Bombyx mori: one gene and its partner. The protein of the gene in region 1 interacts with the protein of each later gene in a biochemical or structural test. Links are inferred from orthologs where the notes say so. Each region holds a gene or a part of one and is shown on either strand. Other genes may lie near its edges. The genes, in order: plexin A3 and semaphorin-1A.

Evidence for each region.
Region 2: the proteins of plexin A3 (region 1) and semaphorin-1A form a complex in vitro, tested with the Drosophila melanogaster proteins (2 studies listed by BioGRID). The link is inferred for Bombyx mori from reciprocal best matches to the Drosophila melanogaster genes PlexA and Sema1a.

Annotation. Positions count from the first base shown.
Region 1 is NC_085124.1:13,999,041-14,015,669, forward strand, and holds the end of plexin A3, read left to right. Parts: intron 1-6,280; 5' UTR 6,281-6,382; coding exon of another isoform or gene 6,383-6,393; intron 6,394-7,331; 5' UTR 7,332-7,411; coding exon 7,412-13,108; 3' UTR 13,109-13,575; downstream 13,576-16,629.
Region 2 is NC_085125.1:9,407,773-9,425,359, forward strand, and holds part of semaphorin-1A, read left to right. Parts: intron 1-389; coding exon 390-494; intron 495-3,057; coding exon 3,058-3,146; intron 3,147-3,704; coding exon 3,705-3,846; intron 3,847-4,828; coding exon 4,829-5,031; intron 5,032-6,105; coding exon 6,106-6,251; intron 6,252-7,250; coding exon 7,251-7,333; intron 7,334-7,708; coding exon 7,709-7,937; intron 7,938-14,148; coding exon 14,149-14,297; intron 14,298-15,240; coding exon 15,241-15,369; intron 15,370-16,555; coding exon 16,556-16,766; intron 16,767-17,581; coding exon 17,582-17,587. UniProt on the Drosophila melanogaster protein: Involved in growth cone guidance through its role in axonal repulsion. Function in neurons is essential for adult survival, motor neuron survival, and is important for climbing behavior and activity.

The DNA of each region.
Region 1 (16,629 bases):
TCTTTCATAGTTTTGTAATTGCATGATTGATGTTGTGTTTTATTATTTATTTAAGGACTGGTCACACTTACTTTGATGATTATTATCTTAGTTTAATTATAGGAAGATATTATTACAACACATATCTCAAAAGACGTTATCCACAGAAGAATAATTCTATTTTCTGGTTAAATTTAAAATTATAATTCAATCGGTAAGTAACAATAGAATGATATTGTGACTTATAGTTCCAAGCAATCCAATACATAAATATCATACAGATGAGATTATAATCTCATATTACAAGGTGAGTGGTGTCATTCATGTTGTGATTTTGTTGGGCTCCAGTAACAACTTAATACAAGATGGGCTGTGAGCTTGTTCACCCATCAAGTATCACTCAAATGCCAATTTTTGTATATATATTGTATTGTATGGTATATATAAAAAAGAAACATGGTTAAGATGCTGTGTCTTAATTTGAAAAATATCATCATCCTTCTCCTGCCCTTCTCCCAGTCAACTAGAGTCTGCGCAACATGTCTTGGCTTTTTAATTTGAAAAATAGTAAGCATTAAATATATAATATACAATATGGGAAGTCTTATTAAAAACCACGTTTTCACAATTAGTCTTGTTATAAATGTATCTATGTAAGATCACAATTACTCTAATTCAGCTGCGAATAATGTAAATTTTGGAGCTTTAATTTATTAAACTAAGTAACATGCTCTCAAAATATGCCTTAGCACTGTGGGTTTAAAAAGAGAGAAAGTCGGCGAATATGTTGCCAGTGCAGTTGGATGATAGGGGACAGTTAATTGAGAGAGTTGAGTTTGTTTACCTGTATCATCTGTAAGTGACTGGATATACTAGTAAATTTTATTGAAATCTTACTACATAGCCATATAAATTCATACATATTACTGAAATCTTAACAGGTTAAACTCAGTGAATGAAAATGTAAGGAGTAAATATAATTATAAGTAAATAGTTATTAAAATATGACACATTTTAACGTCCTATCCTAAAATTTCACAGTGTCTCAGTAAATAATAACAATAGGTAATTTATACAAATTAAATATACTTGGATTAAAAATTGAAAAAAGTTTAAGCTGGTTTTATGCTGGTTTAAAGCAGGTTTTAACAAAATCTAATAATATAAATCACTAGCGACCCGCCCTCGCTTCGCTTCGGAAACATTAAAACACACATGAAACAAAAAAAAAAAAAAAAGTAGCCTATGTTCATCAGGGACAATGTCGGCTTCTAATGGAAAAAGAATTTTTCAAATCGGTCCAGTAATTTCGGAGCCTATTCGAAACAAACAAACAAACAAATCTTTCCTCTTTATAATATTAGTAAATCACTAACTAGGCATATTGAAAATTGAATATTGAAAACAAATATTAGACAGTTAAAATAAGAATGGAGTTTTTGGATTTTGATGTTCATAGTATGTTAAATAATTATAATATGTAATCTACCATATTCAGAGTATCCTTCTATATGTCACTATTCTAAAGCTTATCTATTGTATTTTATCTATGTAGGGGGGATCTTATGTTGGTAGTAGAATGTCTTGAGTCCATATGGGTCTAAATTACCACCTTACTCACTTCTGCCTCAAAACAATAATTCTGGTTTGAAGGATGGGGCACCTGTTATACTATAGAATAGAGAAACCTTATGTCTCAAGATGGATTAAGACATGTTTTTTATGTACCAGTTTTTAATAGGCTAACACATATTCATATTTTAATCTCACCTATGGTAGAGTACTTATATCTTTGTTGAAAATATTTATTATCAATAACAGCTTAAGGGCAAATATACATACAAGTGCAGCAAAGTGCAAGGAGACATAATGTCATGCTTTTGAATTATGCATTTCAAATTTTAAGTAATTAGCATTAATAGAGAACTCTATGACCATACTTAGGATAAAGTTTCTTTTCCATAATTGACCTAAGATTGTCATATTGATACCCAAAAACTCATAAGAGCTTGTATGTAAGTGAGAGTATGTTTTTACTTCTGATCTTTAAATTTGGTATATATGGTCTAGGCATAAAATCTTTCCTTAGGATGTTTGATGTGGAGAAACTTTAAAGCTACTGTTAAAAAGTTTTACATCTAATCTTAAATGATGTTGTAGTGATGATGACACTTTATGCCATCATGTACCTATATAATTTGTTACATGAAATATTTTGAATTATAATTCACTGCAAATTCATTGCATTTTTCCATATGCTTATAATTTTGTCCATCAAAAAAAGACTGCAATAATTCAAAAGACCTCTGTTATAAACTTGTTCTGAGTTATTTGTATGTTAAATAAAATATTAGCAATTCAAACTTCAATTTTAATTGTTTCAAAGTATAATAATTTTTATTTTATTGATCACCAATGAATTGTGAAGAATCTTAATATGTTTAATTAGTAAACCTGTGAACAACCTTTAAAAGTACTAATAATGCAGTGTACAAGCACTTGTGAATATAAACAAATATCTTCGAAACATCTCCATACTGATTGTTTGTCTGGCTATCAGTTAGGAATTACGCATGTGCGACTCTGTTCTCCTTGACCAATTGGTACTGTTATCATCAGTTTGTAGTAGTAATATACCTCACTCTCAATTAATAACCACTGGTACCTATCTTATAAATATATTGTTCTGAGTTATCCATTCAGAATCCAAATCTTACAGCTTGGGCGGTATTCACGTTGTCGAATCTATGGGATACGGTAGCCGATTTACATTAGATAGCGCCATGATCAAGTTTGTCCATTGGCCAATAAAAGTCTCAACGGAAATCATATTAATCGAAATAGGTCAGAGCACTGACACATGTAACCTTGTATTGCAGAAACCGTATCTTAAGTAGGTCAGTCAACTTGGCCCAAAGAGACTTAAATAAATAATAATCTATTATAAAATGATCGATTGACATAGTTTTCTGCTGTATAGACTAGTGTTCACCTAACTGGTGATTCGAACTGACTTCTATTGTCATTTTTCGAGTCTCAAGATCGGTGGCGTCATTCGCGTTGAGCTCCGTTAACCACTTACCAACAGACGGGATTTGACTTCGTTCATTCGTCTGAGCGATAAAAAAAAAGAAATAGAATAGTGGAGCTCCACTTTTTTCCATACCTATTCTAGTAACGTCGAGGGTCCTAGTCCTAGCAAGAGCAGTGCTTCACAGAATCTACCGCCGGATCGGAAACTCGACCCACTGAGAAGATCCGTCGAGAAACTCAGCGGGCTGTATCTGATGGTTAAACTTCGCTTTTTTTACCCTTGTTCAGTATTCGTTTTTTGTAATGTCAATCTTGTAAATATTTACCATGTGCTTTCAGTTGCCACTCTCTTGAATATACATTCGTATTGTCATTGTTGAATCACACAGTCCTATTTTCCTAACTAGATTACTAGAATAAGCTTTTAATATACCCATCGTATATTTAAATAATAGTTTTGAGTCTCAATGAAATGTTTCACTTGCTCATTACCAAACATCATTCGTGTGAATGAAACAGCACTATAGAAGAACACGTACATATGCATTCATAATAAGCCGAGTTCTAATAACACAATCATTGCTTACATCATTCAGCAAACACACATAGTACGATCGTCTTTAGGCTATGAGCACTTAAAAAAAACTCAATACTAAATTAATACTTTAAACACACGTGAATTTCAATGTTGGCAGAAATCAGGTTGTGACACTGTCGTAAAGTAGCCCAGTATCTTTGTTCCCAAAGTCGTATTTCATACCTGAGAGCTTTTATTTTTCCTACCTAAGCTGATAGCCCTGAGAGGCTATTTCAGCGTAACTTTAGCTAGTTGGTGAGCTTACGGAGCTCAAACCGGAGTGATGCTAACACTGACTCAGTGGTCTGTGTCTGTGGATTAATTCGCTCGTCCAGCCCTTCGTCGCAAGCGACGGGTTCGACGAGGACTGTGACCGGTGCTTGTGGTACCTAAAAGCACCGTTAATGGACCGGGAGGATCCGTAATACGTGTTTTGGGCCTGAGAGCTGTGACCACCACTGCCTACCATGAAATTTGATAATTCTTTGTGTGGCTATTATCGCTCTGCAACACGAATTGTATCTTGTCGTATCAAATTATTCATTGTGCTCTGAATGTCATCAAGTTATCGTATCAATCCTGATTCTTCTATAATTTCACATGTCTAGGCAGGCAGTTTGTGGTGTCGGTAGGCTTCTATTACCTACCGCTTTATAGCCAGACTTTGAGCTCCTTTATAGCTAAAACATTTTTTAATATACTTAAAATTTTATTTGCACAAAAGCTAGTTAAATATTTAAACTTACAAATAAACTTTGCGTTAATGTCCTTTAATGATTTACAAATACGCGTTTATTTATTGACACTAGCATTACTGTTATCAAAATTCAATTCTTATCTAAATAGAAGGGAAATAATAGTTGACTGAACATATAAACTATAGTGTAATTTTATACGAACAATCCTTTTAACATCACCACTGTAATTATCTGCTGTCTGAAAAAAAATCCGTATTGTGAATTGTGAACATTCTGTTAATTTCTGGTATCAAAAGAAAATATCACTTTAGATCATTGGTAGATAGCTCGTTTAGTTTTAAGTGAAAACGCTTGTTACGCGATACTGTGTTTGTTAATATTGAATTAAATTCCTTTAAAAAAAAAAAAACTTGCTCGGCCTGGTGAATCAGCTACGCGGGTGGTTGGCGATTGCAGCACATTATTATAATACTGAGACCGACACTGCTCATTCTATATTGAATTAATTGGTTGCCTTTTATGACATTAACGGGAAGAGATGGAGAGTTGCTATTCTAAGTCGACCACACACAGCAGTGAAACAACAAGGTCGTAACTCCACTCTTGTGACTTTTAGCCTTGTGAGTTTGGTATTAAGACGACAGGACCTACCTAAAAGAATGCCGTCCCGTGTCTCATCATTGTATAACATATACTTATGAATATTTGTTATTTCTACGTGAACGTAATACGAAGTGAGTACGCAATAACGAAGCTCGCTCGTGAGTCACTTTAAGGTCGCGCCGCTCGCAATACGTACAAACCTGTTCTTCGACGGTTTTGTACAGAAAATTGCGTTATCGAATATCACAGAATGATTGGTCATTGCATAAAACTTGTTCTATGTTTATAATAAAATAATAAGTAGGTCTACTGGTGGTAGGGCAAATAAGACCGTACGATTAGTTAGTTAATGTTACGTAATCGTACCACCGTCCTAATACTGCTGCGAAGTACTTGGTAATATTGGACAGCCCTAATACAATTAAAGGCTTCGACCTTGTGCCTCAAATTAGGAACTTAATGGCCACCATGCCCACAATGACCTCGTACAATTATCCAGAGCCATTGTTAAAGTAGACTATTTAGGTCTAGAATAGCACCATCATATCTTTTCCCGAGGTAAAGAGCGATTAAGGGATTCACCGAAGATTGAGCAGAAAAGTTCATTAGAGTATCATACCCGCATGCTGCGTTCACCAAGTGTACTGTACTGGTGGTAAGATATGAACCCGCAGGTCGGTATCACCAACCATCCTACTTATCTCTTCCGCGAAATAATCTTGTAATCCGGCTTGAACGATGGGACCGTTATAAAGAACAAGGGCGATTTTGACGTAGTGATTTTTATGAGCTTCAAAATCCACTTAAAATCTGGTTTTCCGTGAGCTCGTTCACCGAAAAACGCAAAATATATTGAATTTTTAATCGTAATTGTGTTAAACAATTTCTTTATCGAATCATGTTAATTTATGATCTGTTATCAAGATGATCATGTTATTAAATGCTCTTCCTATATGGTATACGTATCATTGACAAAACATTCCCGATCCTGTGGACCGAATGGTAAACAGTCGATGCACCCGAAGGGCTCGACGAGTAAATTAACCCATAAACACAGCCCACTGAGTTTCTCGCCGAATCTTCTCAGTGGGTCGCGTTTCCGATCCTGTAGTAGATTCTGCGAAGCACTGCTCCTGCTAAGGCCAGTGTTAGCAACATTTCCGGTTTGAGCCCCGTGAGCTCACCTATACGTTAGGGTGAAGCTGAAATAGCCTCTCAAGGCTATCAGTATAGGTAGTAAAAAGAAGAAAAGAATTGACAAAAAACAAAAGAATTGACAAAAAACAAACGATTTAAAATGTTTTTAAAGCTCATACTATCTATTAAAGTATTGTAACTTCATTGAAACAGGATCGCATGTAATTCAAGAAAGGTTCTTACTTTGTTCCAGGTCTCGCTTCGTTGTCGCCGCACTATGAGAGTGCGCTTCCTATGCTTATGATCTCAATTTAGAAAAGGAATTTCACGCGATAAGCCCGCTGTGTCTCCAACAATGGAATTCCCGTGAGTACCACTACTAAACGATATTTAAATATTGATGTTTTTTAGTTTCTCCGTCATTTCTTTTCATTTCGTTTTTTATCGTTGCGCTACCACGTTCACTCCCTCGTTGCGAACAGCATGCCAAATTATTGTTTTAGTTATATTTATTATGTATCCCCTTTGATGGTGCTGAGGCTTTCGTCGGCGTGTGACTTACATCAGTGCACTGACAGCGTCGGTTCGCCCGTGACCATACCTTGGTACCGATCTATTTTTTACCGTCATCGTGTTTAATTCTCGATCGATATTCGCGTTTCGATACACGGTATTGAATAATAGTTAATTATCATACGAAAGTTTGTATACTAAAACGTTTAACCGAATTAAATCTACACAACGCAATGACTTTTCGTTAACGTTTTTCAATTTTAAAAGTACGAAATATAATAAATCATTATGTAAATTAATTTGGAATAGGTCAACGTTTATTGTTTACAGCGTTTCACTAGAAACATTTTAAATTCTGCATAAAAGTAGGCAGAATATTTCATAATAAAATGAAAATGTATTTGTGCTACAAGGTCACCTCTTGAATGTCAATCAAACAGAAGAGGTCTTCAAGAAAAGATTAATAACAAGTGATAAATATGTAGTCGAAAATAGGTTGGTACCGATATCGTTATCAGATGGGTCACCGCGAGATCAAGTCATAACTCGCGATTTCCCTTCAATCGCACTGAACCTCTCCGAGCCGATGAACGCGTACGTGCGCTTCGCCGTTATCAATTAGTTTATGTAAAGCACAGTCGCGCTAGGTTCTCGTCTGCGAATCGTCTCCAGGCTTCACCGGACGGTCCATATGAGAATATACAGGCGAAGAGCGGCGGTGGAGCGGTGCGGTGCGATGGGAAGTGGGTGGCGACGGCGCGCAGGCTCTGAGTGCGTGTGTCGCGTTGCAGATGCTCGGAGCGGGCGGGTGGCATCGGTGACGGGCGGCGGTGCGCGCGGTAGAGTGCCGGCCACATGCGCTCGCGCCGTCATGTGGCGCGTGCTGCTGGCGTTAGCGGCCGCGTGCGTCGCCGCGCGCGCCTCCCAAGACGTCGTGCGGACCTACAGCGATCCGGTCTCCGCACCGGGATCCCAGTTCAACCACCTCGTCGTGGATCGCAATACGGGCCGTGTCTACATCGGCGCTGTTAACAGAATCTATCAATTGTCGCCTGATTTGGAAGTAGCCCAATCGATTATTACAGGCCCCGTCAACGATTCCGCTCTCTGCACTTTTGATTGTCCAGCCAACTATGTCAAGAAGCCGACGGATAATGTTAATAAGGCGCTGGTGATCGATTACGCGACAAGCCGACTCATAACGTGCGGCTCCGTGCTTCAAGGGCTATGTTCCGTGCGAAACCTTAATAATATTTCTCATGATGTTCGTGAAGTTCGTGAACCGGTGGTGGCAAACAATGCTACAGCGTCGACGGTTGCGTTTATTGCGCCTGGTCCTCCAAACCCGCCTATGACACAAGTTATGTACGTAGGTGTTACGTTTACGGGAAATTCGCCATATCGTTCAGAAGTTCCTACTGTCAGCAGCCGTTCCCTGGAAGATGACCGCCTGTTTGGAATTGCACGCACCGCAGTCACGACTGGTACGAGGATGTTCATCAATTCATTATCACGGGAGCGATATCTTATAAATTACGTCTACGGCTTTAGCTCCGAGGGATTTAGTTATTTTCTTACAACACAACTGAGAGGTGTAGGATCAGATACATACTACAGCAAATTGGTTCGTGTATGTCATGATGACGAAAACTACTATTCATATACTGAAATTCCAATGTCTTGTACCGGAGAGGGAGGAGGCAATTTTGGATACAATCTAGTACAGGCTGCTTTTGTTGGAAAGGCCGGCTCCGTCCTCGCAGGTGAATTAGGAATAACGGCACAGCACGATGTACTCTTTGCAGCCTTCAGTCAAAGTGAGTCAATAAACGCGAATACTCCATCAGATCTGTCAGCCCTTTGTGTGTACTCTCTGAAAGCGATTCGGCGTAAATTCATGCAGAATATAAAGACATGCTTCAGCGGAAATGGATCTCGGGGTCTTGATTTTATATCGCCCTCGCATACTTGTATCGGAACAAAATTACAATCAATCAGTGAAGATTTTTGTGGCTTAGACGTAAATACTCCACTCGGGGGTGAACAACCAGTGGAAGCGGTCCCGGTAGCTGTATTTAAGAAAAGACTTACTGCAGTAGCCGCAACTGCCACTGGCGATTATACTGTAGTGTTTGCGGGAACGGCGAAAGGACATCTCAAAAAGATTGTGGTCGAAAGTGCAACTTCTGCATTTGAATACGGGGATATCGTTGTTGACGAAGATTCACCAGTGAATAAAGACTTATTCTTCGATACTCAGTTAATGCATTTGTATGTGATGACAGAACGAAAAGTGTCTAAAGTGAAAGTGCAAGAGTGCAGCGTTTACAAATCCTGTTTGACGTGTCTCGGAGCCAAAGACCCGTACTGTGGATGGTGTTCTTTAGAAAACAAATGCAGTCTGCGGTCAGATTGTCAGGAGGCAGCTAAAGATCCTTTGTATTGGATCCCTTACCGCAGCGGGCGTTGTACAACCATCACCCAAGTGACACCTAATCAATTGCAACGAACGACAGCAAGAACACTAGATTTACTCATCGAAAACTTGCCTACACTCAATGGACAATTTTTATGTGCATTTACAGCTTTAGATCGTACTCTTATAACGAACGCTACCAGAAAAACTTACGGTGTTAATTGTACAACTCCGCGTACCGATACGCTCCCACCGATACCGGCTGGTCAACATCACTTCACTGCTAAGTTATCGGTGCGCACTACTCAGGGACCTGACTTTGTAGCGACCAATTTTACATTCTTTGATTGTAATACGTACAGCTCGTGCACACAATGCGTCAGTTCCTCGTTCCCTTGCGACTGGTGTGTCGACGGTCACCGCTGCACCCACGATACCGCTGAAAATTGCCGTAATGATATTTTAGTAACGGGAGTTAGTAGAATAGGCCCAAGTTATCGTTCTGGTCCAAGCTTTTGTCCAACAATAAATTCAACGTCCGACGGTACCAACGAAATATTAGTACCTTCCGGTGTTAAAAAACAAATCAAAGTTAAAGTCCACATAATAGGCCAATTTATCGTTCAAACTAGATTCGTTTGTCAATTCAATATTGAGGGTAGAGTCACTCACGTGAACGCTCAACTTTTAGCAGATACCATATATTGTGAATCCGTTGAATTTACTTATACTTCCCGAGCTCCTAATATTACTGCTTCGTTTGCTGTAATATGGGGTGGGTCGAAACCTCTTGATAACCCGGATAATACTCATATTCTCATCTACCGTTGTAACGATATGGCTGATAATTGCGGCATGTGTCTCGCCCTCCCTGAGAAGTTTGGTTGTGGTTGGTGTCAAGGGTCCGACAGGTGCGAAGTACAAGAACAGTGCGGAGCACCTAGTGTTTGGTTAAATCGAACACAAACTTGCCCTAATCCTGAAATTCATTCATTCAGACCACAGCTTGGCCCATGGGATGGTGGAACAAACATAACCATCGAAGGTATAAACCTGGGTCGGAATATATCTGACATATATAACGGGGTAACTATTGCCGGAATAAAATGTCAGCCTATCATAGAATTATACATAAAAACAAAACAAATCGTTTGTACTGTAGACGGTCCCGGAGAAGAGGTTCCCCGTGATGGGCCAGTAGTTGTTCGTGTTGCTGATTATCGCGATGAATCTAAACAACACTACGCGTTCGTTAACCCTAAAATTAATTCTATCGAACCAATCTACGGGCCACAATCGGGCGGTACGAAGTTACGTATCACGGGTGAATATCTAAACGCCGGCAGCAATATACAAGCTTATATCGATGATTTGCCTTGTGCTATTTTATCAGTATCGCACGAGGAAGCTGTGTGTAGGACAAGCCATTCGTATCAACTCAAAATGGGCACACTGCGAATGCGTTTCGATAACGGGATGCGAACTCTAGAACGACAAAAGTTTGAATACATAGAGGATCCTGTTGTAGTGTCCGTTGAATCCGGTCCACCATTATTATCGCAACGCAAACAACCCAAAGGCATTCCGTCCGGCGGGATAAGCATCAAAGTGATGGGCAGAAATTTCCATTCAATTCTATTGCCCCAGATCTATGTATATCACGATAACAGACCTTACATTGCTCCTTGCTATAGGGCAGATTTTCAAACTGTTCTGATTTGTGAATCACCCGGTATTGAAAGTGCTGGTCTCAATCTAGATCCTGATAGACCTTTGGCATTAGAATACGGTTTCAATATGGACGACGTACAAAGTGTACAGAACCTCACAACTAAGACTGGTGACGCGTTCCTTTTATATCCTGATCCCATTTATGAGAAATTCGGCGAAGATTTAAAGTATTACAAGTCTGATTATTTAACTATTAACGGTCAAAATCTGGATAGGGCGTGCACTGAGGCTGATGTAGAAGTTCGAATCGGAGACAGCATTTGCAACGTAACATCGTTGTCACGGCATCAACTGACTTGTCGTCCCCCTTCGCGGGAAGATCTTCCTGACGGTGTTGACACTCTTGAAGTAGTAGTTAAAGTAGGACGTGCTCTCACCTACAAGATTGGTAAATTGTCGTATTCCTCGCAGACTGGTTTGCAAGCCGCTATAGGCAAACCAGCACTGATAGGGGTCGGCATCAGTATAGGTATTCTCTTATTTATAGTTGTGGGATTCTTAGTTATGTATAGGCGAAAGTCAACAGAAAATATTAGGGTATTAAAGAGTATGCAGGAACAGATGGATATTTTAGAGTTAAGAGTAGCAGCAGAATGTAAGGAAGCGTTTGCGGAGTTGCAAACCGAAATGACGGATTTGACTGGTGATGTCACGGGCGGTATTCCTTTCCTAGATTATCGCACGTATGCCATGAAAATTTTGTTCCCTAACATTGACGACCATGCCGTCTTGCAGTGGGAACGTCCCGAGCTTATTAGAAAAGACAAGGGTCTTAGATTGTTTGGACAGCTTATTATGAATAAAACATTCCTTTTATTATTTATTCGTACTTTAGAAAGCAATAGATATTTTTCGATGCGTGATCGTGTGAATGTAGCTTCATTGATTATGGTAACACTCCAAAGTAAAATGGAGTACTGCACTGATGTATTGAAGACATTATTAGCTGATTTAATAGAGAAGTGCATGGAAGGTAAAAATCATCCTAAATTACTGCTCAGACGTACCGAAAGTGTAGCGGAAAAGATGTTGAGCGCTTGGTTCACTTTTCTGCTTTACAAATTTCTCCGCGAATGCGCCGGGGAACCTCTGTATCTGTTATTTAGGTCGATGAAAGGACAGGTAGATAAAGGCCCCGTCGATGCCATTACCTCTGAAGCCCGTTATTCACTTAGCGAAGAAAAACTTATCCGCCAATCAATAGACTTTAAAGCAATGACCGTAAACGTGTCGATTTCGCAACAAACTTTGTTTGTGAGCGGCTTAGAGGCTACCACTGAAAACGTACAAGTTAAAGTTTTAGACTGTGATACGATAAGTCAAGTTAAAGAGAAATGTTTGGATGCTATATATCGCTCAACTCCGTATTCCCAACGTCCTAGTCGAGATGAACTTGATTTAGAATGGCGCACGGGGGCTTGTGGTAGGTTGATTCTTTACGACGAAGATAGTACTACGAAGTGTGAAGGAGAATGGCGTAAACTCAATACCCTGAATCATTACCGCGTCCCGGATGGCGCTTGCCTTAGTCTTGTTGCAAAACAGAGTTCGGTTTATAATTTGTCTAATATGGAGAAAAATGACAAGTCTCATACTTACGAAACTTTAAATCGAGGCAAATACGGATCCGCTAGTCCCCCTGCAAGCCCACTGAAATACGATCACGGTGGCGGCTTTAAATACTGGCATCTCGTGAGACATCACGACGATGACGCACGCAAGGAGGGTGAGCGTGGCAATAAAATGGTCTCTGAGATTTATCTCACACGTCTTCTCGCCACGAAAGGCACTCTGCAGAAATTTGTCGATGATTTATTTGAGACCATTTTCAGTACAGCTCATCGCGGTTCGGCGTTGCCTCTGGCCATAAAGTATATGTTCGATTTCCTCGATGATCAGGCATTACAGCACGCAATATCCGACCCCGAAGTTGTGCATACTTGGAAAAGCAATTCCCTTCCTCTTCGCTTCTGGGTGAACCTGATAAAAAATCCTAATTTCGTGTTCGATGTTCATAAGTCAAATACTGTAGATTCTTGCTTATCTGTTATCGCGCAAACTTTCATGGACTCTTGCTCGACCTCCGATCACATTTTAGGCAAAGACTCGCCTTCGTCCAAGCTTCTTTACGCTAAAGACATTCCCGTGTACAAGGAGTGGGTGGAACGTTACTATGCGGACATTAAGTTGATGCCGGCAATATCAGATCAGGACATGAACGCGATGTTTGCGGAGGAGTCTCGCCTCCACACGAAAGAGTTCAACACGAACTGTGCGCTGAACGAGCTGTACGCGTACGCGGACAGGTACAACGAACAGTTGACGGTAACGCTCGAGGAGGACGAGTTCTCGCAGAAGCAGCGGCTCGCATACCGCCTCGAGCAGGTGCACAGCCTCATGGCTCATGATTACAACGTGTGATCGCCTCGCCTGACGCTGTGATGCCGACCCCACCGCCCTGTATATAACGCTCACGCACATATCTATGCTGGCATTTATTGTATATATTAGATAGTGTACAGTCTTTAATATTGTAATTTTTGTATAATTTCAGCGGTCAGATCGTTTTTTAATTTTATATAAATGAACTTTGTATTGATTTTACACGACGAGCTCGGCCGGCTACGGTCGTGCCGGATGTATTCATCGTAAAGTAATAAATGAAATAAATTGTGTATGTCTGTCTTATGTGTGCTCGCGTCGTACGAGTTAATGTTACGTCGATCGGTGTATAATGTGTGTCGCAAAGAATTCGCATGTAAGCTCGCCGGCGAGCGACGGCTTCGCTCGCCAACGGGCGATTTTTAAATTTGTACTCGCAGTCTTATTAACGAAATAACCGACAGTGAACCCGTGAACGATTCCATTAATAAATATCGTCGAATGTATGTAAGCGTTGTTTTATTTAATTTGCAATGGGCGCAGCGCGATCGTCCGCGCACGACGAAAGCCCCCGCGTCTCGGCAGCTGTCGGCAGGGAGAACGCGGTACGGTGCCATGTCTGCTCGCCTCGCACTCGGGACCGTGCATCCAGCACCTAACATGTCATATCACCACTCATGTTTGTCGTACGTTACGTGGCGAGGCGAGGGCGACGTGCGAGACGTCATGGATGAACCGAAGCGGCCCTGCTTTTTCAGCCGGTACGTGCGGATCGTGGCGCGGACGACATTCGCGGTCGTCAACAACTTATACTGCATCCCCGCGTACGTGCTGTGGATGATGGCGCTGCGCCTTCTCAAACCCTTGTTCGCCCCCATCTATTGGAAGATCGAAGGCCTCATGTACCACTGGCTGCTGGCGATGGTCTCCTTGTGGTCTTGGACGGCTGGATATGAGAGTAAGTACTTCTATATTCATGCTAAAATAATTATTGGAGAGTACATTAAACACTAAAACCTTTAAAGTGGAACAATAAAAATAAACAACTTGGAAACTTACAATTTCGCCCACGCGCTGTGTCTTGGGAATATCATAATTAGCGTGTGTCGTAATATTCCGATTGCGTTTAAGATAGTTATGAAGCGCGAACAACTTTTACCATTGTTCTTCAAAAAGTTATCGTGTAGGAAGCGTACTTAGTCTTTTGCATAATAATTCTAAAATGGAGCATATATCAAACTTTGATCTCGTTTATTCTAAATAAGAATTGTATGATTTTTTTAGAAAGGAGTTTTGTAGATAATAAAAAAATGTTTGACTAAAACTAGAATAGGTCAAGAATCCTACACTTACCATAGAACTGTTTAGTGTGGAATGCAATTTGAAACCCATGCGTTTTGTTCCGCACATACTGTAAAATAAATCTTGGCTTTTAAGGTAATTTTCATTGGAATCTGTTGAAGCCAAGATTCGAATAGCCATAGGGATTTAATTGTAATAACGGTACAGGTTAGGATAGCCTAGTCAAACTAGGAAAATTTATTATTAGCTGCATGTGGAGTTAACTTTGTTTTTGTAGAAATTTAAATCGAAAAAATATTTAATTGAATTACGATGGAATACGGTAAGCACACAAGGGAACGGTAAGTTATGTAATTGAACTTTATACTGACATTAAAAGTCTGGTCAAAATGTCAAATGTTTTCGTCGTTTGTCATGTAGGACGAGTGACCAAAACAAAACCAGTTCTTGTGAAACTTCAAGAAATTCTTTAACGAGAACACTTACTTAATACGATATAATAAAGGTTAATCTCATCTGGAAACTAAAGTAGTGTAAAATGGTCTATGCTAAATCTCATTTCAAGCGAATAAGCCGAGATGATTAATCAATTTGTCAACTAGACAGCAAAATCGTGAAATGTTTTAATTATTCAACTTCAAAGCCATAGGTTCTCAATTCTTCTTTCAATAATGCTTTGGCGGTAGTCAAATTGTGATAAAAAATAGCTTCCGGTAACCACATTTTGTCAACAGGAGATTACTACGACCTTGGTCGCGAAGTAGGGAAATTAAAACTTAGTAGCTGTTACCACACCACTGTAGTGTATTGTGTAGTGAATTTGAAGTCATTATCTGCTAAAGCCAATCATCATATCAATGCAACAGCTTAGTTGTACATTGGTTACATTTGATTAATTTCTGTTTAACGTAAAATTATCGTTGCCATGTCTGTTTTTTATCTATACCTATTATCTTTATCCAGAAGTCTGATTAGTAGTTTTTTTTTTATTAATTATAAAATCATGAATTTAAAATAAGCGCTTACTTAGTTTTTTCTTAAGTTTAGTTGGTTGCCTTCATAGGCAGACGCGAGGCATGTCTTCAGCAATGGCAGAGGCATAGTCAAGCCGCTGCTTACCAAGGATTCAAATAGTTTAAAGAAGGATATGTCATAATGCTCAAGAAATATCGCGGAGAGAAATTTGTTCTAAGGTCGAAATGTGCGAAGAAAAAAGTATAACTGCAAATGCTGTGCAAGCAATATAAGCAATATAGAGCAATCTTTTGTATTTATTTCGTTTTATCGTCGTCATCTGCTATATTGGATATTTAGATATTGAAACTAATTGGTAAGGTAGTTATTTCGCTGCCTATAAATCTTGTTGACTGATTTGAACACTTGTGAAAACAAAATTGATTGCGTCCACTGTTTTGGCCAGATAATATCTCATTGCCCAATCTCAAATTAGATTTCTTATGTATTCGTAATTGATTTCGGGTTTGCTTGCGAACAATGGCCGCTTTCGAAATATAACTCGTCGCTGTAATGAAAGACCGGTCCTAAATTTATTTAGGAAACTCGAAATTTAAGGATTGTTAAAATTTTAGAACGGCACTGAGGACGAATGTGTAATTTTTTTAAACTTTTATTTCAATTGACTTTCTCGTTCGATGAACCGGATTCATGAAAATATGTTTCTGAATGTTTGTACATTAATGAAATTCCAAAATATATCTGATGTAACGAAGTCTCGCCAATTAACGCCAATAAAGTCATACTTTTCGAATAAGTCGGCAACAGCAATGGCAATAAGGAGCGAGAACTGCAACATGTGGTCAAGCTGTATTGACCTTATGCGGCTGCGTAGTTTGTGCGGCCGGTTGAGGACGGTCGATGACCTCCCTCCCACCGCAGGCCATTCGCTAGGAATGCTGCCCCCCACCTACGGGCCGCCACTCGTCATGTCATGTTGCAACCAGTCGCGGATTTGCATGTTGCCACTAAAAGTCGATACGTTGCGGTCCACGAGTCGCACGTGGTGAGACCTATTTAGTGACGTTATTTTGGTAATTTCGATTATACTTAGATAAGAAATCCTACTTCAGGTTCAGATAGTACTATCGATAGCCGATAATATTCAACATTTGCAAGATGATGATTTAGGTACACATGAGGTTTCTCTAATAGGAGCAACCGGAAATACTGACAAAGAATATTATTGACTAGTTTATTACCCTAGTGCGAAGGTTATTAGTTTGGTAATACAATAAGCGTGT
Region 2 (17,587 bases), on another chromosome or scaffold:
ATACGTTCCTAAAAAGTTCAGTGTTGTGCGAAACCATATTATATGAGACTAGAAGCCAGTACAAAAAGAAGAGATTTTTTTCTGAATTAAACATTCAAATATGCGTCTACGTATTTTTTACCTCCTATACATAAAAAATAACCCGCAAAACTTTGGTTATTCGTATATATTGCATATTCATAATATAATTTTCTAAATAATTTTAAACAAAAATCTCGTTTAGAAGTGCCGTCTTATAAAGAGAGGTTTTGGGAATTTTTCTTTTCGTTTTAGAGTGGAACCGTGTTGTAAAATACCGTATTATAGTAGAATTAATACCTGTACTCTAATAATTTGATTGACGTTTGTCAAAAATGATCAATAATATTGTCGATTATTATGATTTACAGATGGCGAATTATATTCGGGGACAGTTGCGGATTTCAGTGGAATAGAACCAATAATATACCGAGAACCGTTGCAGACCGAACCCTACGACTCGATGACATTGAACGGTAAATTAATTTTCTTTGTAATTACATTCCGCGAGACGCTGACAAGATTAAAAACCATATTTACGTTTTAATTTCGAATTTTATTATTTTCATTAACAACACCCTTACGAAGACTTAATAATTTGCGTAATCACGGACGAAGTTATTTGTGAATACTTTAATTCTCCGCTGTATAGTAAAATTAAAATAATAAACGCATAATGGAACCGTAAAGGTTATTTTAATTTATGTAAGTGCCGGAAGACCGATGACATAGTCAAGACGACAGGGCGGATGTGGATGAGAGTGTGGGGCGAGCACACATTATGATATAAAACAGACTTATGCCCAGCAGTGGATGCCAAAAGACTGAAGTGCAAATAAAGCATATTCAGTCTTTTCAGCAAAACAAGTATGGTGCGTTTTTCTTCATTCGACAGTATTACAGTCGATCTGCATTGATATTAAGAATTAATTTTAATTATCAATTACTAGTTAATATACTGCTCATGCATTTTACTTTTTGTGTTTGAATATTTGGTTATCTATCAAACCATACAATACCAGGTATCTCCATATTTATGTTAACTGATTGTCACTCGTTACAATATTTTGATTGTTATTGTAAATATTGTTATTTAAGAGGCTCTTTCACCAATTTTCACATCTAACATAAAAGCATATTGTCGCGGCCAGTAATGATGTAACAATTCTAAAATAGAAAGAAAGTAGACAGTTTTGTCTATTCTTAACATCCTTACCGCAGTCTTCACTATCCGTGATCATAATTTACAACAGCGCCGATGCATCGAAAATCTACTAGATGTGTAAATCGTGGTAAAAACCCGTGAAGAAAGAATAATAGTGTTTACAACGTAGACAGTGGTAACAATTGTTGTATGAAACTGCAACTTGGGCGAATAATGATAGTTAACTTTATTTATTATATTTAAAAAAAAATAGTTTTCTGTCTCAATACTTATTTTTATCAGGGTCGATCATTACACACTGTTTATTAGTGATTTCTAAATACAAGCAACGTTCAGCTTCCGTTTCCGGCTCAAACACTAATTAGCGAAAAACATATATAATAGTTTCCGGATCAAATAATAAACAAACGATAATTATGTAACTATACTTCCGGGTAAGCCTAGCAATCTAAAAATGGTTAGAACGCATAAACAAGGCAATATAACATTATTAATTTAATTTACCACCAATATTTGATATGGTAACGATGGTAATATTAGAAGTTGTTGTTTTAATCATAATATGACGTCATTCTTGGACTTAGTGTAATAAAAATTAAAATAGAACAGTGTTTTATGCCGTATGGTCTATGAATGCTCTGAGGAATTATTCGAGATGATCCCCTCATCTCCTTTTTTCATCGCACCTCCCGCCATCGGAGCAGAGTTCATCCATATTATCTGGAACCGCTGCGTTCATCGACAGTGCGTTTCCAAAGATCTTTTTTGCCACGTACCATCCGGCTTTGGAATGAACTCCCCTCCACGGTGTTTTCCGAGCGCTATGACATGTCCTTCTTCAAACGAGGCTTGCGGAGAGTACTTAATGGTAGGCAGCGGCTTGGCTCTGCCCCTGGCATTGCTGACGTCCATGAGTGACAGTGACCACTTACCATTAGGGTAGCCGAATGCTCGTCTGCCTACAACGGCAATAAAAAAAAGGGCATTTGTATTATAATTTAAATTACAAAGTCAACGTATTCTAGATTTGTTCGCTTTAAATCACAAGCATCTATCTAAACTAGAGGTCCCGCAGTAGTCGAAATTCAATTATAATTAATTAGAATTGTAAGTTTGTACACTATTATGATTGTATTTTATACTTCTATAATCACAAATTTCGCCAAGGCTACTATATTTTTTTTTTTATTAAGACAAACAATATTTAATCTATTCTCAATTTGACCACAGACGTCAAGAACAAAAGTTTGACAATAAATATTAAATAAATATGCACGCGTGCGTGCGTCAAATACATGGTATGTAGTGTGTCTAATGTTTTCTTTATTGATTTAATGTATCTTTTATGCATTATTTAAAAAAAATATTAGCATTGTGCACTCCTTCTCTATATTCTCTATAAGTGTAGAAAATTTCATACTCCTCCGTCCACGCAATTTTCGTAAAAAGGGATACAAAGTTTTTGCTTCACGTATTAATTAATATACAGATTATATTATCGTTACAATCAATGGTTACAACAAACGTTACGCTATCGGTAATGTCCACACAGCTGAATGCGTTCGAATGCGGCTGTCAGACATATACACATCCGTCAATTTAATTGAATTTAGAACGGGGCTGAACCCGCGTCGTTTGAGTGACGTATGACGCGTCAACAATCGCTAAATCCGATTAGGTTCGTATTAGAATTATAGCGCCTACGATAAACGTCCCTTTGCATCACCTGTATGACGTTTATTTGGTATTGAACACCAATATTATCTTCGAATTTAATTAACTTCGAACGTTCTAGAACGATATAGCCGTATTCAATTTGAACAACAATTATTCTGACAGAACTGAGAAATAATTGTCATATTTTATGTTTACAGCTCCGGATTTCGTGAATTCACTGGTGCACGGAAATTTCGTTTATTTCTTCTTCAGAGAAACAGCAGTGGAATACATTAACTGCGGCAAGGTGAGTTTCATGATTAATGTGTACTCGTGGTAGGGCGAGACTTAGAACTCATATCTCAAGGTAGGTGGTAGTATCTACGTTTTTAATGTTTATAGGGTTCGACGAAAAAGGAACAATGAAAGAGAAATAATTAATGCTTTTTCCTGTTTAGTTAACATCGCGATTGCTTTTAATAACTATATTTTTCCTTAAAATAAATAGTCATTACATGTATACAAAGTTTTAAGTTAAACATGGCTTTAAAAAAATAATATAATAATATATAAATAATAAATAGTATAAAACAAAGTCGCTTTCTCTGTCCCTATATCCCTATGTACGCTTAAATCTTTAAAACTACGCAACGGATTTTGATGCGTTTTTTTTTAATAGATAGAGTGATTGAAGAGGAAGGTTTATATGTATAATAACATCCATTAAATAGTGGAGAAATCAATAATAAGATACAGTTTCAGTTCAGTTAAGATACAGTAATAAAATACTTAAATGTTTAATTTTAATAAGTAAAGTTATTATTTTATTATTATTATTTTATTTTAAATGTATTTTTTTTTTCAGTCCGTCTTTTCTAGAGTTGCTAGAGTCTGTCGTGATGATCGAGGAGGTCCGCATAGGTTCAAGCAGCGCTGGACGTCGTTCCTGAAATCAAGACTGAACTGTTCAGTCGCCGGAGACTTCCCATTTTACTTTAACGAGATTCGTCAGTACCTTTTTTAATTTATTTAATGTTACATAAAAAAAAAGTTGCGCGTGCAACTTGGTGCACGTGAATGAAGTGAAACTTCTTTTTCGATGTTTAGTATTGTGGTTTTCTTCATTTTTCATTCTTAAATCAGATTGCCCTTGTAATAGGGAATGCTGTGTATAAGAGATGCGACATCTTCAACATTTATTTTATATGTATTTTAAATTATAGATAGAAAAATAAATATACTTTAATTTTTTTTTTAATATTTCATTAAAATATTAGACGCTACTCATTTCTAACACTCGCGCTGGCGTGTAACAGGTATACTGCGCGCATACGTTCGAGTGCCACGCTTTCACTCTCGCTCTGTCCCTTTCTAGTATGGTAGCGTTAAACATTTAACGCAACCTTGTTGGAAGTCGCATTAGAGAAGAAGAAGCATAGAGCTTCACTTCAAGAAATAAGAAATCGAATGAAATCGCAAAACTGTACTGTATACAGTCGCTAAATACCAGTTTTAATCTAATACATATATAAAATTCTCCTGTCACAATGTTCGTTCCCATACTCCTCCGAAACCGCTTGACCGATTCTCATGAAATTTTTTATGCATATTCAGTAAGCCTGAGAATCGGCTACTATCTATTTTTCATACCCCTAAGTGATTAGGGTTGTCCACCCCTAACATATTATTTTTATTTGGACTTTTTTTTTGTTATAATGAGGTATTATGTGGTTGAATGAGGTTTTGTTATTTTTATTATATATTCCCTCAACGTCCACAGCGCTACATGCCTCTTTCACTCATTTACCACATCCTTACACACTTACAATAAGTTAGTTTTTTTTTCTACACTAGAAATTCCCTAGAAATCTTATATATGGCAAAACAATGTTTGCCGGGTCAGCTAGTAGTATTATAAATTAAATAAGTTATTTATAATGTTTTGCAAATCATAATTCGTCTTACAGGCTTTCTCGTGTTGCATTACAGAATCGACGACCGAACTAATTGAGGGCGTTTACGGAGGCTTAAACGCTCAACTAATCTACGGTACATTCACGACTCCGCCTAACAGTATATCCGGGAGTGCGGTCTGTGCGTTCAGCATGCAGGACATAGCCGACACGTTCGAAGGAACTTTCAAGGAACAAAGCGCTTTTAATTCAAATTGGCTGCCTGTCAACAATGCTAAAGTAAGTTTTTGTTTTGACGTGACAACGTCTTATAATTCGATGGAGCCAGCTGCACGCACGAAAAAACATGACTCATGCGGCGTTACCTCGCTCTGAGGCGTTCCATTTAAGGCTCTACGTCATTGCGCTTTTGATGATGCGGCCGAAGTCATCATGAAATTAGCGGCTACGAATATTATTCGCAGACCGCGCCTCACGATCTATGAACTTTTCCCTCATTTTGGAATTATAATAATATATTTACTTAGTTTTGAATTATGTACGTATTTATGTGTAACTACAAAGGCATGTGATATAGGGGTTATGTATGAGAAGTATTCGCAATGTGTTTTATTTAATTTCTTTCTTGTATTACCTAAAGTGCCTTATCTGTATTGCCTCAGAGAACTATAATTTATAACCCAATGGTTAACCGGTAAAGAAAGAAGAATGTCTAATAAGCAACAAGCTCGCCGTCTATACTCGTATATAGAACAAAATAATTAAATTATTTAGTTATTAATACGCTTTTATTAGCTTCAGACGTATGTATGTTAGTATATTATGTTAGATTGTAACGGATTCTTTGAACATGATTTTGACCCCCTTCAAAATGTCGGATTAATTCGAAATTTGGTATACTTAAGACAATCCAATATTTAAAAAAATTGAAAAAATTAAAATTCAACTAAAAAATGATAAATAAATAATAAGTTTCAAAAACTAACAAAATACGCTTTTATAGAAAATCCAACTAAAAAATAGAAAATAAATTTTAATAAATTTGAATCAAAAATAGTGTAAGAAAAAATGATTTTACTGTAAAAAAGCGTGGGTGCTTTTCAGGATATTATCAAAATAACCCTTCTACTCATATCTGTTCACAAAATATTTATAACTACTGATACCATGCACCCCACGCTTTTTTAGCATAAAAACAATTTTTCTATAAAAGCGTATTTTGTTAGTTTTTTTAAACTATTATTTATTTTTAGTACCGATTTCGAAACACGAATTTTCTTAAATGTCAAAGACCCCGCTACCCGGACTCCAATTACTAAATTCCATCAACTAATTGTGTATTTGTTTTGCCAGGTACCTGAACCACGCCCGGGAACCTGTCATAACGACTCGAGACAACTGCCGGATAAAACATTGAATTTCATAAAAACCCACGCGTTAATGGACGAGTCTGTGCCCGCGTTCTTTGGAGAACCTATCGTTATTAGGACTAGCTTTCAGTAAGTATATACATTTAATGAAGTATAGACGTATATACATAAAAGTATATACATTCTTGAAGTCGTTGTGGCCTAACGGATAAGACGTCCGGTGCATTCGTGTTGAGCGATGCACCGGTGTTGGAATCTCAGGCGGGTACCAATTTTTCTAATAAAATACGTACTAAACAAATGCTCACGATTGACTTCCTTGATGAAGGAATAACATCGTGTAATAAAAATGAAACCCCCAAAAATATAATTTGCGTAAGTACTGGTGGTAGGACCTCTTGTGAGTCCGCGCGGGTGGGTACCACCACCCTGCCTATTTCTGCCGTGAAGCAGTAATGCGTTTCGGTTTGAAGGGTGGGGCAGCCGTTGTAACTAAACTTGGGACCTTAGAACTTATATCTTAAGGTGGATGGCGCATTTACATTGTGGATGTCTATGGGCTCCAATAACCACTTAACACCAGGTGGGCTGTGAGCTCGCTCACCAATATAAGCAACAAAAAAAAAATGTATCTGCTCCTAGAGGCAAATTTTTTTTCCTACCTATTCTAGTAACCTCGAGGGGTTATTCTAGATTCACCGATCTAGTAGGTGAGGGGCTCAAACCGGGAGGCTAGAGGCAGACAATATATTATGTACCTAGGCGAGAAGTATCAGATACGAGCCGAAACATGTATTGCTCTTACATTTTGTACAACACCCTGTGAATACCATTACATAAATAGATTTACTGGTGGTAGGGCCTCTGGTGAGTCCGCACGGGTAGATTCCACCACCCTGCCTATTTCTGCCGTGAAGCAGTAATGCGTTTTGGTTTAAAGGGTGGGGCAGCTGTTGCAACTATCCTGAGACCTTAGAACTCATATCTCAAGGTGGGTGGCGGCATTTACGTTGTAGATATCTATGGGCTCCAGTCACCACTTAACACTAGGTGGGCTGCGAGTTCGTCCACCCATATAAGCAATAAAAAAACTTGACATTAACGATTACATTGTATGTTTTATTACAGCTACAGATTTACGCAAATCGCAGTAGATCCACAAGTGAAGACTCCGGGCGGGAAAGCGTATGACGTACTGTTTATTGGCACAGGTAAACTATAAATACGTTTCGTTTAACAAAATAATTGTATTTGATTTAGTATCAAAAGTTTATTTGTTTTTAAAGAAAATTTATTATATACATCAGTAATTTTAGACATTCAAATTATAAAGATAACCAAAGTATAAATAAAGCATTTGCATAATTAAACTTTTGCAAATTATTTTTTGATAATTTTTAAGAATAATACCTATACAATTAGACAACTAATATTTTAATATATCTACATTTACTGATCTTTACTTCTAACGCCTAAGCAGGCCGAAGGACTACAGACGCTTTACATCGAGAATTCGATCTTACGTCTAAGCATCTAGAACATCATTATCTATAACAAAAACGTACACATTACTCCTTTTATTACAGACAATGGTAAAATAATAAAAGCGGTCAACGCGATTTCGTATGATTCAAACAAACGCGCCGTGCCGATCGTCATTGAGGAGCTACAAGCATTCGCCGCTGGCTCGCCTGTGCGCGCGCTGCGGGTCGCCCGCGCCGGCCGGGACGCCGCCAGACTCATTGCCGTCTCCGATAGAGAAGTACTCAGCTTGAGGCTCCATAGGTGCTCCAGTGATAAGATCAGCTCGTGCTCGTAAGTTTAATATGTTATCTATATATATATATATATATATATATATATATATATAAATCCCGTAACTCTTTTGGCAACCTTTCATTTTCCAACCTTCTGACAACCACCACTTCTAATAAACTTAGAGCAAAATGAATCATGTATATTAACGTATTAACGAATATGAAACTGACTATGTAACTCGAAATTCACCTTGTCGCAATATCCTAGAAAATACTAATATACTAATATCAATATTCTTCGCAGTACTTTTGACCACCAAACTACATTGGTGTACTTACTCCATCCGCGTATATTTAAATATATTACTAATCAATTCACTACAGATAAGTCTACCGTTTTTTTGGAAATAAATTGGAACTCTGTATATTGTTCCGTATACTTAATTCATTCCTACAAACGTCGGACTTCCTCCCATTAGCGTGTACTTCTGACATGTTCACTTACTGACAAAATATACTACCATTCACAGATCTTATAATTGTCGAAACCCATGTGCAGTCAATTATCAAAATTATGAAAATAATATACTTAATGCCATAATTGTTCAGTAGGAGAAACAGATAAACTACATTGAAAAATCTACATTAAGGTTTACCCTAAAATATTGTAAGTGGTAACTTTGCAGACCTCATAAATTTGTCCTATTAAGTTCCTTTTTTTTTATTGCCCTTGTAGGCAGACGAGCATACGTCCCACCTGATGGTGAGTGGTTACCGTCGCCCATGGACTTCAGCAATGCCTGGGGCAGAGCCAGGCCGCTGGCTACCGTTGAGTACTCTCCACAAGCCTGGTTTGAAGAAGGACATGTCATAGCGCTCGGGAAACACCGTGGAGGGGAGCACATTCCAAAGCCGGATGGTACGTGGCAAAAAAAGATCTCTGAAAACGCACTGTGGATGAACGCAGTGGCTCCAAGTAGTTATGGATGTACTCTACTCCGGTGGCAGGCGGTGCGATAGTAAAAACGAGATGACGGAATCATCTCAAAAAAATCCTCAGAGCACTCCCCATGGAACATACGGTACAAAATTTTGAGAGAAGCGAAGTCCCTCCGCAGATCCGGAGGTTCCAAACGATCCGTGAGAACGGGATTATCGACAATCCGAACGGCCCTCTTCTGTATGGAGTCAAATGGAAGAAGCTGGTATTTGGGAGCCCCAGCCCAGAGGTGGGAACAGTACTCCACGCGAGGCCGGACTTGTGCTTTATAAAGCAAAAGTATTTGTCCAGGCGTGAAGTATCGCTTCGCTCTGTTGAGGACTCCCAGCATTTTGGACGCCATCTTGGCTTTGCCCTCCAAATGACTCCGAAGCTGGACATCGCTCGAAATGTCGACTCCAAGTATTCCGATACTCGTGAAAGGTTTCAGGGATACTTCTTGGAATTGTGGCACCACGACAAAGGGGTCCTTCTTCGCAGTGAACGCGCAAACTTGTCTTTAACAGGTTGAATTGAACTAAGTTCGATTCACTCCACTCGGAGATTCGCCCCGGAGAGCTCTCCACTTCAGACACAAGCTTAGATCGTCTCTCTTGCACCACGCTCTGTGAAAGACTCAAATGGCCGATATATCGCGCATCCCCCGTGCCGTCATCTGCATAGCAATGCATGCCATCAATAGATGTCATTGATATACAGGATGAAAAGCGTGGGGAAGGGCACCGAACCTTGTGGAACACCAGCGTTAATGGTCATGGTATCGGAGCAGCCACCGTCTAGAACGACCGTGATGCTCCGCCCATCCAAAAAGCTAGCGATCCACTTGTAGAGTCCCTTGGGGATACCGTAAGATGGTAGCTTCGACAGAAGTGCCCTATGCCAGACCTTGTCGAAGGCCTTCGTGATAAGAAGCTCACAGAAAGAGCCTCGCCCTTGCTCTCCAAGACTTTAGCCCACCTGTAAGTAAGGTATACAAGAAGGTCGCCGGCTGAGCGACCGTGACGGAAACCGTATTGTCGGTCATTTCAGGAGTTGTGTATTTATTATTCGCTCCATCACCTTGGAAAGCAAGGAAGTTATCGCGATAAGCCTATAGCTCGATGGGTCCGACTGGTCACTCTTCTTGGGGATAGGATGGACGTGGGTGGTTTTCCATGAAGACGGGACCCTGTTAGTTAGTACTATACGAGATGCGATACAAACGCGTTAGCGTAGGTGTCAATTCAGGGGCGTAGGTTTTCAAAACCATTGCAGGGATGCAATCTGGCCCTCTCGACTTATGGACGTCCAGGGCCTGCAGCTCCCGCCTGACTGCACACTGTCTAAAGCAGATCTCAGGCAGAGAGCTATCACACCAGGGGATGTTGGGTGGTGTGGCGCCCCGGTCATCCATAGTGGAGTTCGTCGTCGTCGAATGTAGTCGTCGTGGCCTAATGGATAAGACGTCTGGTGCATACGTGTTGAGGCGATGCACCGATGTTCGAATCTCAGGCGGGTACCAATTTTTCTAATGAAATACGTACTCAACAATTGTTCACGATTGACTTCCACGGTGAAGGAATAACATCGTGTAATAAAAATCAAACCCGCAAAATTATAATTTGCGTAATTACTGGTGGTAGGACCTCTCGTGAGTGCGCACGGGTAGGTACCACCACCCTGCCTATTTCTGCCGTGAAGCAGTAATGCGTTTCGGTTTGAAGGGTGGGGCAGCCGTTGTAACTATACTTGAGACCTTACAACTTATATCAAGGTGGGTGGCGCATTTACGTTGTAGATGTCTATGGGCTCCAGTAAGAACATCAGGTGGGCTGTGAGCTCACTCATCACACGAGCCACTCATCTAAGCAATAAATAAATAAATAAAAAAGTTCGAGGCGAAGAATTTGACCAGAACGTCAGCCTTCTCTTTTGCACTATGGGCCAGACTGTCATCGACTTTACGTAGTGGTGGGAGACAAGACCTGCAGAAGTCGCCTTCTGCAGCCTTAGCCAGTGATCAGAAAGCACGGCTCCCAGAGGGATAGCCTTTCAGTCGCTTACCAATTCTGGCAACGTTCTCCGAATTCGCCTTGGCAATAGTCTTCATATAGAACCTAGAGGTGGCGTTAAATTTCCGCCTCTCCTCCGAAATGTCGGGGTCCTGGCATCTCCTAGCATCATTCCATGCCGCGTATGCGGACCGCTTGAGGTGTGCAGCATCCCTGCTAGGTTTATTATACCAGGGTTTGCTGCGACCCCCAACGGGCACCTCAGAAGAAGGAATGAATAATTCCATCCCCTGAAGCACCACGTTTTCAAGCCGGTCTGCACAGACGTCAGGATCATCGGAGGAAAAGCAGAGGCACCCCCATGGGTAGGATGCGTAAAATTCACGCATTCCGTCCCAATCTGCTAACCTGTACCGCCAAACTCTTCGAAACCCGGTCATCATTCGACGACTAGGGCGAGAGAGTGGTATTGCAGTACGGATATGGCAGTGATCAGACGATCCAAGTGGAGCGTCGACCACCACACTGTATCCAGCTGGGTGAGATGTCAGCAGAAGGTCCAACAAAGAAGGCTCGTGCCTCTCAATGTCTGGGACACGGGTGGGCTGTGTCACCAGCTGAGTGAGGCCGTAGAACAAAGCGAAATCGTAGGCTGCCCGACTCGGGAGGTCAGTGGTTTTGGACCCCAACCACTCGTGGTGATGAGCGTTAAAGTCAGCAAGGACCACCACCTCCGCAGATGGGCACTGCTCAAGCAGCAAGACGTAGCCTTTTTTTATTTTATTTTTGTGTGTTTGTGGTATTTAATACGCTTTTATTAGCTTCAGACATATGTATGTTTGGAACGGAATCTTTGAACATGATTTTCAAAACGCCGGATTAACTCAGAATTTGGTATACTTATTAAGGACCGATGACAATTCAATATTAAAATAAAATTGAAAACATTGAAATTCAACTAAAAAATAAAAAATAATAGTTTAAAAAAACTAACAAAATATGCTTTTATAGAAACCCAACTAAAAAATAGAAAATAAATTTTAATAAATTTGAAAAATAGTGTAAGAAAAAATGATTTTATTGTAAAAAAAGCGTATATGCGGGAGGAAATGTTCCACTTTTCTCCCTTGGTGCACAATGTACTAATTTGTGAATGTACTTGAATTAACATTAGAATTCAATGTGAAATTCGCTCTTTTTTCAAGATTATTTTCGTCACAAATTTCTGTTGCCACCTGTACCTGCAGATTTAGTTATGTTTAAGACCTTGAGTTTAAATAATTTATTTGTTAAGAATGTGACAGGAGGCAGCTAGCACACTGCCATATTAGAAAATCATATCCAAATACCTATTTTATTATTATTAATAATAATAATATATTAATTATTTATTATAATTTAGTATAATCATCAAGTCTTGGTTCAGAAGTGTTGAAAAATCTGAAATTAATGTTTCGAACATTAATGAGAAAACGAAAGAGACTTGTTATGACTATTCGATTCTTGATTTTCGCTATAGTTATTTAAATATGATTTTTATTATCTTAAGAATCAAAATCCGAAATAAGGTGTCACCGGTGACACCTAGTAATCTGCAAAGTTTCAGTGTCACAGGAATTTGAGGGTGATTTATTTCTTCTACACAAGAAATCTTAGCGCATAAACAGCGACTAGAATATTATAATGCCGGCTGTTATAATATTATCCGTTTCTCGTTTGCTTTTTATCCATTTTGATTATAAACAAAAGAGAATTAACCACTAATCAATCTGTAGAAGTAAACCTAGATGAACCTAGCTTGATAATTACAGTCACATTCATCAGGTGTATAATGATCATATATGGTATAATTGCAAATATGACACCAAAAAATCTTTTTTAGTAAAAAAAATATCAATATCAATGTACCGACCGTAATACCGAAATAATTACTAGTACTACTATTAATAAGTGGGTTACACCCACGTTATAATAAGTACATAGTTTTGTATAATTTGAATCCGAAGTGAATAGTCGGCAACGTCACGTTGTTCACAAGCGAAATTTCGAGCTGGCTGGCGACGCCAAATCATCGGTATGGTAAAAGCCAATATACAGCGCTACGTATACACACCCTCTGGCGGCACCGCTCGACACTGCGATATGCTTTTCCAAACGTTTCTGAGGCAATTTGGTGACCATCTCAAAAATTGATATAGTAACCATAACTCCATCTACAGTTGACTGGTGTAAAAAATATTGAGAAACAAAGTGGCGACCGCATATTGGTCGCCAAATGTCGGTGGTCGCCACTTTAAATGTACTTTTGTGTTCATTGGATGCCAAAAGTGTTGCAGGATATATATATATATATATATATATATAAATGAATTTCTGTTCGTTAGTCTCGCTAAAACTCTAGAACGGCAGGACCGATTTGGCTAATTTTGGTCTTGAATTATTTGTGGAAGTCCAGAGAAGGTTTAAAAGGTAGATAAATATGAAAATGCTTGGAATTAAATAAAAATAACAATTTTGTTTTTCCTTTGATGTGTGTGTCCCTCCCTCGTCGGACGAATTCCTTTTGTTTGTTTTAAGTTTATTTTATACAATAGCTTAGGTCTTTTATTTATCGATTGAGGCACTGCGAAGTCTGCCGGGTCAGCTAGTATGTTATATAAAAGTTATACTAAATTTCAGACAAGCAAACCGTGCCTTGTCTCACTATTATTAACCCCTCTCCAAAAAAGGAGGTTATCAATTACTCGGTTTTTTTATGTGTTACCTCAGATTTTATTCTGGATAAACCGATTGTGATAATTTTTTTAAAAACATTTAGCGGAATTAATTTTTCACTGGTGGTAGGACCTTTTGGGAGTCCGCACGGGTAGGTACCACCACCCCGCGTATTTCCGCCGTGAAGCAGTAATGCGTTTCGGTTCGAAGGGTGGGGTAGCCGTGATAACTATAGGTACTTGAAACCTTAGAACTTATATCTCAAGGTGGGTGGCGCGTTTACGTTGTAGATGTCTATGGGCTCCAGTAACCACTTAACACCAGGTGGGCTGTGAGCTCGTCCACCCATCTAAGCAATAAAAAAAAATCAACTCGTGAAACTTATATAAAATTCGCCTATAAAATAATTATTGTTCATTCCTTAAGTTCTCATCTTACAAATTAAAAACAAACGACTCACTGGTTTGATTATTCCATCGTTGTCTTAAAAGAATAATTCTTGAAAGTGATTTCAAGGTAAAATCTTAAAACGGTTTTTACAATGCGCTTGTTTTTTTCCCCAGCGAATGTGTTGCTCTACAAGATCCGTACTGTGCGTGGGACAAACAAGCCGGACGGTGTCGAGCGTACTCGCACGGCGTCAGTCGCTGGCTGGACGAAAACTCCTTCTACCAGAGTGTCAGCACGGGAAGCCATACTGCCTGCCCTCACAGTAATGACTTATAAAACGCACGATAATAGTATTGTTCCGCGCTAGAGGTCGGGATAAATAAAACCTTCACGGAAGTACAAATAAAAACTCTATTGAACAACTACAACACTAAAGGTCCACTTCACAATTCTCAATTCTCTTCGTCCGCATCGATTCAAGTGATCCGTTCGCTGTTTCGCTTCGAGTAGAACTGATTACAAACTGCTTTCGTCACATCTCTGCAACGATTTTATAGGCAACACGACATGTCTGCAATTATCAAGAACATTTCTGATAGTATAGTACTCGCCAAACTTTATGGCCGCTCCGAACCTAGCCGCATTACGCTGCGCAGAACACAAAATCAGGTATCAGCGGGACGTGCGCTGACCTTGGAGGCAGGGCATGCCCGCGCGCTCTGTCTTCCGCTCACAAGCGTCCTCGCCACCCGCGCGTTGTGTGAGTGCTACGTTCGTACACCAATGACATACTCGCTGAGCTATGACAGTATCGTCGCGTTCAGAATATTTTCATATTGCTATTTCTTTGTTATTTGTTTCTCGTTGCTATCGTTATTAATTACAACAACAAAAAAAACTTGGTTATGAAATGTCCACCCGACTGTACCATGAGCAAGTTCGTACTGACGGCTACATTCAGAGCGGCCATAAAGATCGTTTCGATCACATTTTTGTTATTTGATAATAGATGGCGTTACACTTCTCGAATGTCACCCGATAGTACTCTAGCTAGCTCTTTTGATATTCGTTTCTGCTATTTGATGATAAATGGGGTTACTCTTACCGGCATAACAATATAATACTTGCCCATACGGCTTTACGAAGCTTTTCCATTATCAAGTGTGGCTAAATCGTCACACAATACTGTTGCGATATCGACTTTTTGCTTGTATGAATCACGTAATGAATTCCAAAAAGGTGTTGAAATTATACTTTGTTTGTAGGTAAAGACGCAGGTGCAGTGGGTGGTTTAAGTTCGGGTCTTTACGATGACGCAAGAGGAGAAAATAAAGGCGAGGTTATCAATATTGTCCAAGATAAGGATGGGAAGGGAAATAGCAACAACAATGAAGGTACGTGCTAACTGACGGTAGGCGTATTGTAAGGTCATATGTTTCAGCTTGATGGATGGAACAGCTGTTATATACTATAATTCATATCTTAAGATGTCTAATGATCTCATGTCTTAAGATCGATGACAGCATTCACTTAGTAATGTCTATGGGCTCTCTAACCATTTAACTCAATCAGATGAATTCAGTCACCTGTCTAAGCGTTTTTATATATATATATATAATAACCTAATTGAATAACTACAGAAATATTTCATCAGTGATACTCAACTTGTCCTTAGTCGTAGACAAAATCTCTATGTATAAAAATTAATTGCTGTTCGTTAGTCTCGCTAAAACTCGAGACGGCTGGACCGATTTGGCTAATTTTAGTCTTGAACTATTCGTGGAAGTCCAGGGAAGGTTATATATATATATATATATCGCGCTTCAAAGGCAAACGTGACTAAGCGACAATGCGTGAACTTTACAGTAGACTAATTTAAATTTGAAATACCTGAAAAAAAATATTTTAACGAATCTAGCTGTAGGATTGAAATGATTTTAATAGACCTAGAAATATATCGACGCTTGAAAGGCAAACGTGACTAAGCGACAATGCGTGAACTTTACAGTAGACTAATTTAAAGTTGAAATACCTGAAAACAAAATTTATTTTAATGAATCTAGCTGTAGTAGAATCTAGCTAGTAGCTGTAGGATTGAAATAATTTTAATAGACCTAGAAATATATATTTTCTGCGCATCGAATATGGTTATTGCCTATCATTTATGTACAAAGACGTTATTGTCGCTTAGTCACGTTTGCCTTTCAAGCGTCGATATATTTTTTTGCGCATCGAATATGGTTATTGCCTATCATTTATGTACAAAGCAGTTATTGTCGCTTAGTCACGTTTACCTTTCAAGCGTCGATATATTTTTTTGCGCATCGAATATGGTTATTGCCTATCATTTATGTACAAAGCAGTTATTGTCGCTTAGTCACGTTTACCTTTCAAGCGTCGATATATTTTTTTGCGCATCGAATATGGTTATTGCCTATCATTTATGTACAAAGCAGTTATTGTCGCTTAGTCACGTTTACCTTTCAAGCGTCGATATGTATGTGATGTCTGCCGGAAGAGAGTCTGTATCGCTCTCTAAGGCAGGAAAAATCATTTGCTAAACGTAACTTTGTTCAACAGGACCTGAAGTCCTGGCCGCTGATCCACCACCAGCAGCATACTCCGTTGAAACACTTGCATTAGCTGTAGCCGCCGGCGCTCTGGCAGCCCTGGGCGCAGGATTCGCGGCCGGATACATTTGCGGAAGAAGATGCAAGAAGGACGAAGACGACAACATGCCCTATCCCGATACTGAATACGAATATTTCGAACAGCGACAGAACATCAATAGGTTTGAAACATCTTATTACTTCAATGGCATTTATTGATAAAAAAAATTCCTACCTAAGCTGATAGCCTTGAGAGGATATATCAGCGGAACCTTAACTAGTAGGTGAGCTCACGGGGCTCAAACCTGACGACGTTGCTAACACGAACCCTAGCAAGAGCCGTGGTTCGCAGAATCTACCACCGGATCGGAAACGCGACCCACTGAGAAGATCCGGCGAGAAACTTCATAACAACTTCGAAACTATGTAAACGAACTCGGTACCTAATACGATTTTGGTGGTGGTAGGACCTCTTGTGAGTCCGCACGGGTAGGTACCACCACCCTGCCTATTTCTGCCGAAAAGCAGTAATGCGTTTCGGTTTGAAGGGCGAGGTAGCCGTTGTAACTACACTGAGACCTCAGAACAGGGTTTCCCAAACTTATTTTGTCTACTGCCCACTTTGAGAATAAAATATTTTTTAGCGCCCCCATTTTTTCACTTATTAAAAAACCATAACAGCGAGAGCTCAGTCGGTGTCTAAGAGTCCTCCTAGATGAAATTACAAATCGCCTTCCAAGTCACTAACTACACAACACCCCTATTTTTTTTCTGGGTCTCCTACCGCCCCCTTTAGGCCTGCAGCGCCCACAGGGGGGCGTTATCGCCCACTTTGAGAAAGGCTGCCTTAGAACTTATATCTCAAGGTGGGTGGCGCATTTACGTCGTAAATGTCTATGGGCTCCAGTAACCACTTAGCACCAGGTGGGCTGTGAGCTCGTCCACCCATCTAAGCAATAAACAAAAAAAAAATACACAATTATTTACGATGTCTTAGCAGAAT